Linked DNA regions of Yarrowia lipolytica. The main gene of each other region encodes a partner of the protein of the gene in region 2 in a complex. Links are inferred from orthologs where the notes say so. Each region holds a gene or a part of one and is shown on either strand. Other genes may lie near its edges.

Region 1 (5,257 bases), on a different chromosome or scaffold from region 2:
ATAGTAGTTAGTGTGCGTGTTGCAGTTGTAACCTGAATCCTTCTTCCCTGCAGTGGTACATTTTTTTCTTCATAAACTTCGTGCATATCAAATCTGCACTGTGGAAGCACCTTATCTGAACTTTTGATACTCACAACGACAATGAACCACCAGGACCTCAACCAGCTCAGAAGTCTTGTCGTGCTTGTTGGCGGCGGTCTTTGTGCCGGAAAGGTGAGTATTACGGGTCTAAAAGGGGGAAATGGATTGTGAAAAGTAGCAAATCAGGATTTGAGATGCACGTTGTCGTCGGTGGTCTTGCAAACAGGCCATCGAGGAAATGATAAAGACAAGTCGTTGTTGCTGATCTGTATCACTCAGTTGTTGACTGTGATCTCCATTGCGGCAGTCACGTCTTCAGCTCATATACATCTAGCCTATAAGCCGATGTGGATGCTTGTCTCGAAGACTACCGGTCCAGCTCAATCCGGCCCAGCTGTGTGCCGATTGTTTACAACTTGTCGTCTGAGTGACTTTAAAGCTGCTGCCTCAACTCATGTCATACGGCCATTCACTACCGTTACTAATCTAGAAAGAGGTATGCAAAGCCGTCGAAGAACGCATCGGCGAGCTAGGCAAGCTCCGAAAACCAAAGGTGCACACCATCCACATGAACGACTACATATACCCCGGCCACGATCCCAAATACAACGATCATCCTCGTCGATTTGACATTGCTCGTCTGAAGAAGGATGTTGATGAGCTTAGTGTGCTCAACATTGAGGCTGGTGCCCTGGAGTTCTCAAAGACAGCCACCTACAACGAGTCACGACACAATCTCAGCAACTATGTCGACACATACCACCCCAACTGGCCCCATGTGGTGCTGATCGAGGGCTACTACGCTCTGTACGACGAGGATCTGCGCAGGCTGAGCAGCATGATGATTTTTGTCGATAGTGACGCTGACATTCGTCTGTGCCGGCTCGTGGAGAAGAAGGCTGATCCTTCTGGTTCCAATTTGGCCGAGGTGCTGGATGACTACTTTACTCACTCGCGAGTCGAGATGTCCAACTTCATCCTGAGCACCAAGGAACACGCTGATGTGGTGCTCCCTAGAGGAGCCGAGCCCATGGGCGTCAAACTTGTCAGTGTGGGACTGTTCAATCGGCTGAACCAGGAGGTGATGAGCATTATTGAGGGCGAGCCTGTGGAAAAACAAGAACGTTTGAGGATCCAGAGTAAGTGGGATTTGAGAGAAGAGCATTTGGATCAGACGCGGTATGTGGATCTCACGTAACACGTCTCAATCACATGTCCTAACACACAAGTCCGAACACCCAAGTCCGAACACACAAGTCCAAGCGTAGCCATTGTTTCTACAACACACTGCTTCAAGGCAATATACAAGAACTACTTGCACCAAATAACCAATATCGCATTAACAAGATATATTATCATGTTGCTGTAGCAACTACTTGTACATACTGTACGCGGCTCTGATATGTCATCAGCCGATATACAACTGTTAACACGTGAAGACAGGTGAGACTTGGTGGGGTAGTTCTATAACGGTGTCTCTGCTTTAGCTTGGGTTTCATTAGACTAACTTGGACTACAAGTGTGTAAACCTATGGAGATATTGTAACGGCTTTAGTCTAACTTGGAGACATGTGACGGCGTGATCTAAGGAGTACAAGTATTGAATATCTATACAAGCAGGAGATGTATGTGAAAACCGCATAGATGACGACATTGTAAAAGTGCCGTAGTTTCATTACCCATCCATAACTATATCACACTCTATATCTATATCTTTTTGTACTGTCCCCCACATTTCGCTTATTTCGTTCCATCTCAGACCCTACCCCGCTGTCTCAGCTTTCATGTGCCCCTCGGAATGCGTGGATGCAGCCGTTAGGTCCGTGCTCCAAACCATATTTAATATGGGGAAGAGGAAGTTGCTCGAGTTGGAAGAGCTCTTGTTGCCACCTCCCTGCACATGAACTCGCTCGCCAAAGTCGCCCTGGCAGCGTATCTCGGCGTGAATGCCAAAAACCTGCTTTTCGCCTGGCACGTCCGTTTCTTCTACTACTTTTTCCGGTACCTGTTTCTACCGGAAAACCTGCTGGGGTACCCCGAAGCCGAGCTGCCGAAGACGCCGTTCGAGGAATGCCGCTACGACTCGCGATGCAACCTCCTGGAGCTGGACATCAACATCCACAAAAGTAACGCCACGTACTTTGAGGATCTCGATAGCGCCCGAACCAAGCTCATTGTGTGGGTGCTCAACCGGTTCCTCAAGGACTCCAAGAAGAACGATGGCTCGTGGGCCTTCATTCCGATCGGATCCGTCTACTGCAACTTCAAAAACGAAATTGCCCCGTTCCAGAAATACACCATGGTGTCGCGAGTCATTGGATGGGACCACAAGTGGTTTTTTGTCGAGAGCCAGTTTGAAATGAACGACCCCAAGAACCCCACCATCGCGGCGACAGCCATCACAAAGTACGTCATCAAGGACGGACGGAGAACTGTGCCTCCGGGCGAGGCGTTTCGACGGGCCGGATACAGCGAGGAGGATCTGGTCAAGGGCATTTCGGAGTTTAAGCGTCTGGGTCTCCAGCGGTTTATTGATATTGAGGAGATTGGGGCTACTCCTAGAGCCAAGTTGTGATGCGATAGATGATGGTAGAGTCTTCAGTGGATTTGAGTAGACATTTATCAATTCCAAGTACTACAAATTTTCAAGTAGGGTGAGACAAATCAATTGCTGTTGGTGTAGTTATAATAGCTCCTTCCTTTTTTTTTCTTTTTTTTTTTTTCTTCTTTTTTTTTTGTTGTGCCTTTAATATATCGTCTCACAATGCACAGTAATGCACGATACATCTCAAACTGAAACACAACATCATCACCATCAAGAGTCACGACGAGTCTCCAAAATGGTCAAAAAACTCTCGTTCAAAGGCGACAAGAAGACAAAGAAGCCCAAGGCAAGCTCGTCCAAGGGCAGCGACAAAAAACGACCCAGAATCGACCCAGTTGAAGACGATCAGGCAGCGGGATGGATCTCGGCCAAATCGTCAGAAGAATTCCATGGACCCACTTTGTTGGTGACTACCAGTGAAGGCAAGCCATGCTGTTTTGTGTATGAAAATAGCGGCGACGCAGAAGACAAAACCCACTCTCCTACAATGGCAGTATCATTCGACCTCGATACAGTTGACAAGAGTCTCGACACAGCTGAACCGACATCTACACAGCAAGTTCTCCTTCTCTCGCCGTTGGAATTCGACACAAATAAACGGACAATTGATATCGACGAGACGGTGGCGAGGTTTGCTCTCAAAGTTCCGTCTCTGGGCGTCTTTCTGGGCGTGGATAAGGCTGGAGTAGTCTCGCTGGACAGTGTTGCCATCGGTACTCCGCAGCAGTTTACTTTCAAAAGAGAAAAAGGCGACGCGGGGGTTTCGTGGACGATAAAAACGTCCTATGATGCTTATATTGAGATCAAGAACGGTAAGATCAACCTTACTGAAGATGGAGCAAAAGCATCAAAGTTCACAGTAAGACTTCAATCGTCTCACAGAAAGAAGACCACGGCCGAAAAACAGGCGGTGACATACTATGCCATGAGTACAAAGGCCCTGGAGGAGCGTGCTGGAAGATCTCTTGATCCTGATGAGGTTGTCAAGTTGAAGAAGTCTAACAAGGAGGGTAATCTGAACGAGGCCTTGTTGGACCTGAGACAGAAAGGCAAGAGTGATACGTATTGCTAGAAATCTGGTTATGCGAGTGCCAAAAACTACCAAAAACTCCAAACTCCCTATCTATAAGCCATATTGTGTTCCGTCCTGTCTCCCACGAGCTTCTGGTCCTCACTACCCTCGACTTCTACCGTGAACACCTATCCTCCAATACTTGTACTCGTTTCTGTGGTTTGGTTTGGACATATGCATATAAATAAAAACTAACTAATCATCTCCTTACGCCGTCACAATAGCCCATTCACCTTCGGAACTAAGTACCTTCTCCACATCTTCCTTGGGCAGCTGTAAAGCTGTAGAAATAGCGTCAAAGTTTTTTGGCTGCTTTACGAGCTTGGCCAGGACTCCATCTACCTCCTCTTTCTTGATTCGCTCCTGATCAGGGCCCAGACCCACTCGTCGTCTTCCTCCCCGAGGAGTTGCGGAAACGTCCTGCACGTGTCTGTTTCTGTTGAAAGGAGTGATGCCTTCCAAAATGGGATATGAATGAGCTCTGTAAATAATACCCTTGATAACGCCAAAGGTGATGAAGCGCCGAATATCAATGTTGACGAGCTCCTTTTGGTTCTCTGCATACCAGTCGCCGAGAGTTTGGCCCTGATGCAACGACTTGTACAACTTGAACAGTTGTACAACGGAGGGAACAGTTCCTGACATGGAGTGAGAAGAAGAGAACGAGTTGGACCGCTGAGAAAGAGACGATGATGATGAGGTAGACAATGCAGATGTGGCCGACGAAGACAAAGGAGGAATACTCAAGTGCCCACTTTGATCTCTCATCTGGCGCTCATATCGTTGTCTGAAAGAAGTTGAGAGTTCATTCGAAAACAAGCTGGTTCGTGACATGTGTCGTTTTCTATTGAGTCCTGGAGCAGGCATCATGCCCCCGAGGGTTCCTGCAGGTGAAAAGACATAAGCCTGGCATTCTCGACCCATATCTGCGTCTTCAATGAAATCTCCAATGTCTGAGGTGGGAGCGTAAATGTTGGAGAACTGGAACAGGTCCACGATGATGATACATCTGTAGTACATGAGCTGCTGAATGCAATCCTTGGTGAGGTTGTAGTCTGCATCTGCGAGGTCTGCAATCCGACGAATGGAGTTGATCCCATTGATAAACGGCACAATCTTCTCCATGGTGGGATCCCAGTTTTCGTCCACCATTTGTTCCAGACGTACAGTTGCTATGGGAACGTACGACGCTCTGAGGTCTGGAGGCGACGGGAAAATGGGAAACAGTTTAATGTTGATGGCGTTGGAGTCGTTGATGGCCACGAGGCATTCCGAGTAGTTGTTTAGGTCCTGGAACAGCTGCTGGATGATATTGTCGATGAAGACAATGTCTGGTCGGGCCGACAGAAGTTTGCTCTGGATCTCCAGCGCCTCGAACATCTTGCCTATCCGTCTGATGGCTGCATCGTAGGCTCCCGAGGCTGACTCGTAGCTGAAGACGAATGCAAAGTTGAAAATGAACGAGTTTCGCGCGTACTCGTTGGAGTAGATGTGAACCG
Region 2 (5,594 bases):
ACTTTGGGCATGTAAAATAGACGGAGGAAAGGCACGCATAGAAATAAGTTATTCCAGACTGTGTGATGTACACAGCTTCAATCAAGTTCCCAAGTTTACTGTAGCCGAGGTTGATGTTACCTTGCACCTTGCTGAATCTACTACAAGTATCCTTTTGACAACATTCAGGTTGCTTCTGTTTCTGTTTCCTGTTTCTGTTTCTGTTTCTGTTTCTGTTTCTGTTTCTGTTTCTGTTTTCTGTTCTGTTTCCTTTCACTCCCTTTTGCTTCCAGTAGTTGTGTTTCTGTTCATCCCTATAGTAATTGAGTGACTTCATACAAGTTGGTACAAGTTCTGTACTTATGAGTACTGTACTCGTACGAACACTTGTAGTACAACCGCTTGTTTGCCTCGTACAAGTACTTCTCACTTGCGCTCCACGATATATCGTAGTTAGAGATCGTCGGAGTGCCGCACAATTCAACAAACGAGCTTCTACTGTGTCACAACCGTTATGGTATAAAAGCCACTTGCACACCACCATTCGCTCCATACCTCTACTATGGCGATTCGTATCGGCCATTGTCCTTCGCTCTTTCACCATCTTTCGCTATGCTATAATTTACTATGTACATTTAAATCTTGTGTCGTGCCTTGGGGTCGGTATGGTAAGGAGACCAGATACCTCGGACACTCTCGTTTATACTTTCAACGGGGCTCTTCATCTGCTTTCGGGGAGCTCCGTCGGAGCTCTTGAGCATCTCAAACTTGCCGTTGATGAATCGGGGATGCTTGTTCTTGCAGCAGATGGTCTTCTCGGCACCGTTGACAAACTCGCCTCGGATGAAGGGGTGGCCAATGTCCTTGACAGCCACAAACTCGATCTCGGGGTTCTGAGCAGCAATCTTCTGCAGGTTCTTGTCCAGGTATTGTCTGTGTTAGTGTGATCTGAGACGCGGTGGATGTCTGAATTCAAAGACCAAACAAAGATGACACGTCACACCACACGCACTGGGTAGCATTCTGCTCTTCATCTAGCACCCCACTTGTGCCACTGGCATGTCTGTACCTCCATCTATGTCCGTGTCCAAGTCACAGTTCAGTTCCCCGTTGTGATACTCACCTCATTCCGTCGGAAGAGCCACCCCAGTTGCAGTACCGGAAAGTGACCTTCTTGCACTGAAGCACAAAGTTGCCGACACCGTTGAGGTTTCGGGCAACAGTCTGGTAAGCTGGTCGAGCCGACATTTTTGTGTGTTGAATGTAGATATTTCAGATTGATCTGTGCGTTGCGTTTAGGCTCCTGTAATTTTGCAAAGGTAGGGTAACTGTGGAGGCCCGAAGGGGGGGAGGAGTAATTCTTGGTAATGAGAGACAATTAATATGAAGGAGAGCATTTTAAATGGAAGAAAAACAACAATAGAGACAGTGTGGATTCTTCCATACAATAATTACCAATATTAGAAGAGCTTGAGGGGGTATTGATCTGCCCTTCAGAGTTCAACTAAGCCAAATACAGTTACTAATGTTGGGGCATTTATTAGTTAGCTAATTGTCAAACGTTTACTTAGCCTTCTCCCGCCTCTTTCGACTACCGCCACTGAAGTCATCAACAAGGTTCCAATGCAGAGCGAATCAAGACCAAGCTGAAGTCGTCTTGAACACCACAACTCACTCGCTCTCACGACAAAAACAATGCTGCGAACACGAGCCGTCGGAATCTTGTCCCGCTCGATCCACACCTCTCGGGTGTGTGCGAAAAACGTCAAGCTCGAAAACCCGTGGTTCAAGGGCGAGGGACCCATGGAGCGAACCAAGCGAAAGCTCGAAAACACGGCTGCTCGTCCTGGAGGAGCTCTGGCCGAATACGATCTCTACGGCGATCTTGAGACGGCCCACAACAACGTGGAGGCCGTGCTTTCCAACGGCTTTGTGTTCAAGGACGACAAGGTGCTCAAGAGCAAGTCTCCCAGCGGAAAGAAGCCCGTTGGAGCCATTCTGATGGGCCTTTCTGAGGTGCTGGCCTGGAACCTTACTCCCGAGTGCGTCAAGGGTCTCGATACCGGTCTGGTTGAAATCGATCCTGCTGCACTGGGTGTCTTTGAGGTTGTCTACCCTCGTCCTGAGCTGCTCATCTTCGGCCTGGGAAAGAAGTCGCGAGTGCTGTCGCCCAAGACCCGAAACTATCTCAACTCTCTGGGAATCTCCGTCGAGATCTCTGACAGTGCCAACGGAGCCAAGAACTTTGATCTTCTGGCCACCGAGCGTCCCGGTCTTGTTGCTGCTGCTCTCTTTCCTCCTGACCTGTGATTAGAAGGACAAAAGAGCAGCAATGTATATAGTAAAGTATTTATTTGTGTATCAAGGGGAGGGTGGAGACGGTAGTATGAGCGGATGGTCAGTATAGTACAAGTACAGTGTACTTGTTATTGCAAACAGCCTTGTAGCTCGCTGATTCTTCCTGGGGCACACTGTAGGTCTGAAAAACTCGATCACGTCTTGAAAAGTCTTCTTCAGAAGAATATATCCAAAAAAAAACCTAGAAAAACAAACTAGCGACGATATTCTGTTCGCTTTCCCCTTGTATTTACTTCTTCTCTACCTTTCTTGTATAACTCTCTTCAATCCCATCTCACTTCACCCTACTCACGATGTCAGATAAACTTCTGATGCACAACACTAATATTTCAAACCAACATCACGACCATCAACATCACTACACACACTAACAGCATCCATAATCATGGTGAGTATCTGCGCGACATTTGCTCTGCAATCAACAACAAGGCTAACCCAGGCTGAATTGGAACGGCTACCCCCTCACATCCAGCGGCTCTTCCCCGAGTGTCCCGAGCCACGGTACCTGGAGCCGATCGACTATGCTCCTGAGGACCGAAGAACGCAGAAAATCTCAGGCGTTTCGGCGTATATGGAGCTGTTGAAGCAGCCCGATTCGGAATACGTGCCGACCGAGTCGTGGCTGGTCAAACAGCAGCGAGAGAAGCGGCTAAAAAGTGAGCGCCAAAAGGTGACCCAGCAGGAACGAAAAGAGGCATGGGATCCCAAGAAGGACGACAAGATTGTGGGCGATCCGTTCAAGACGCTATTTGTGGCGCGTCTGGCGTTCGACGTGACTGAAAACGACCTGGAGGAACATTACATCAAGTTTGGGCCTGTCAAACACGTACGTATTGTACGGGATCTAAAGAGCGGCAAGAGCAACGGATATGGGTTTGTCGAATTCCAGGAGGAAGACGATTTTCGAAAAGCATTTCAGATGACCAACGGATCGATCATCAAGGGCAGAAAAGTGGTGGTTGACGTCGAGAGAGGCCGTACGGTCAGTGGATGGCTTCCTCGACGACTAGGAGGAGGAAAAGGCGGAAGACACTACACAAAGGAGTCTGAACGCAAACCGCTCGGTCCACCAATGCCACCGGGAGGAGCTGGAGGACGGGATCTGTTTCCAGGACACAGAGACCGAGGTGGGCCCAGATCAAGAGACCCTAGAGGATCCAGACCTCCGGAAGACTACAGAGACTCGTTCAGAGGACGGGGCGGAGGTCGAGGAGGACGAGATTTCAGAGACAGGGATCCCCGAGATCGAGATCCACGTGATCGAGACCGAGAACGAGACCCTCGTGACCGGGATCGAGAACGACGACCTCAATACAGAGACAGAAGTCCTCCTCGAAGAGAAAGAGATAGAGGGGACTTCAGAAGAGGGCCAGCTGACAGAGGAGGAGACAGAGGAGGACGAGAGCCTACAAAGTATTATTAGGCTGAAGGTATACACGGCATGTAAATATATAGCTGTATTATTATAGTATTTTGCGCATTCAGATGAGATGGTAATACAAGTATGCACATACTGTAGTCAACTGATGGTAATGTAAGTAATAGAGCATGGAAAAGATATGCCGGAGGAAGTTCAACACTTGCTTCTAGGGAAAAGGTATGATACGGACGAAGACTGCTGGCTCCACTCACCCTAGTATATCAGCCTCTTAATTTCTTTCCCATTACTACAGTATTATCCACACTTATGAAAGAGCTGCGCAGTAAATGGCCTCAAAAAACACCACATTAAATGTCGTCAAACAAATTGCATATCAAACACTTCTGACGGATATTTCTGTTCTTCTGGCTGTTATACTTGTCCTCGTAGACCAAAATATATTCCCAATTACAGAAGTTGTTTTGGCGCCCAAATCAAACCTAGTGAGCCTCGGTCACACAACCAGCCATCATAGTATAGTGGTTAGTACACCACGTTGTGGCCGTGGAAACCTCAGTTCGATTCTGGGTGATGGCAAGTGCCTATTCTTTTTGCTCTGATCTGGATCAGACATGTTTTGTAGGCGAAATATGGAACCACTTTTTAGAGGGCTACATTTTGAAGTTTCATTTTCGCCCTAACCCTGAATCAGATTTTGGATAATGTAGCACAAAAATTAGCTCCACTAAAGCTTTTATTAAGCCATCATAGTATAGTGGTTAGTACACCACGTTGTGGCCGTGGAAACCTCAGTTCGATTCTGGGTGATGGCAGCATCATGCTGTTCCAAACAAGCAGGTTTGATTCCTGCAATATGTTTTTTGTTTTTTGAAGATTCTTTTCATTTTTTCCCCTTGTTAACTGTGGTAGAAATCAAAATGAACCAGTCTTACATTCGTAATATTACCAATCCGCTATTAGTATATGAAAACCGTCAGAGTAGATTCAATCAAAGTTCGGAGATGCATGAAATTTCAATATCGGAGAAGTTTGAGATCGTCTTGAACTACAAAAACCACAATCCATGTCTGACGTTGAGCAGCTCACCTCGTCCAAGCTCGGTACCAAACAGTACTGGGACGAATTTTACAACCTCGAGAAGAACAACTACGCCGAAAACCCCAACGATTCTGGAGAATGTTGGTTCAGTGACTCTGGAGCAGAAGAGAAGATGGTGGACTTCCTTGTTGACGAGGAAGAGCAGGGCCAGGGCGAGTCTCTGATTTCCTTGGACTGTAAAATGTGCGATCTGGGCACAGGAAATGGACGACTGCTGTTTAGTATCCGAGAGGGGGGATTCACTGGTCACTTGACTGGGCTGGACTACTCTCAGCCTGCTGTGGAGTTCTCCACCAAGATTGCCGAGCAGGAAGAGATGGAAAACATTACTTTTGAGCATGCGGATTTTCTGGGAGATGCCGCTATGTGGTCGACTGGCAACCGACAATGGGACGTTGTGCTGGACAAGGGTACTTTGGACGCCATTGCCCTGTCTGATATTAAGTATGAGGGCAAGACTGGCGTGCAAACATACCCCCATGTCGTTCAGCATATGGTCAAGACTAGGGGTGTTGTTCTTATCACCAGCTGCAACTTCACTTCGGACGAGCTCGTCAAGATCATGACTACAGACACCTGTCTCAAGGAGTGGAAGCATGTCAAATACCCTTCTTTCCGGTTCGGAGGCACCGACGGATCCACCGTGTGCACCATTGCATTCAAGAAGGAGTAGATCCTGGGACAAAGGAAAGTAAACAGCAGCTGATATAAATTCTACGAGTACGTCATTTCAAACCAGGTCTCGTACCACATCTTCCTACAATACACGAAATAACAC

The links.
Region 1: YALI1_E13808g (region 2) and YALI1_F04001g share a complex: the UniProt entries of both Schizosaccharomyces pombe proteins name them as parts of the spliceosome. The link is inferred for Yarrowia lipolytica from reciprocal best matches to the Schizosaccharomyces pombe genes usp101 and frg1.

What each region holds. Positions count from the first base shown.
Region 1 is NC_090775.1:397,255-402,511, forward strand, and holds YALI1_F04001g (uncharacterized protein), read left to right. Parts: upstream 1-2,855; coding exon 2,856-3,758; downstream 3,759-5,257. Other genes in the region: YALI1_F03973g (uncharacterized protein), read right to left, coding at 1-86; YALI1_F03974g (uncharacterized protein), read left to right, coding at 142-213, 572-1,279; YALI1_F03992g (uncharacterized protein), read left to right, coding at 1,982-2,656; YALI1_F04027g (uncharacterized protein), read right to left, coding at 3,966-5,257. UniProt on the Schizosaccharomyces pombe protein: May have a role in processing of pre-rRNA or in the assembly of rRNA into ribosomal subunits. May be involved in pre-mRNA splicing.
Region 2 is NC_090774.1:1,377,931-1,383,524, reverse strand, and holds YALI1_E13808g (uncharacterized protein), read left to right. Parts: upstream 1-2,722; coding exon 2,723-3,760; downstream 3,761-5,594. Other genes in the region: YALI1_E13823g (mitochondrial 54S ribosomal protein mL43), read right to left, coding at 615-912, 1,103-1,227; YALI1_E13818g (uncharacterized protein), read left to right, coding at 1,675-2,289; YALI1_E13787g (uncharacterized protein), read left to right, coding at 4,782-5,489. UniProt on the Schizosaccharomyces pombe protein: Involved in nuclear mRNA splicing. Essential for growth.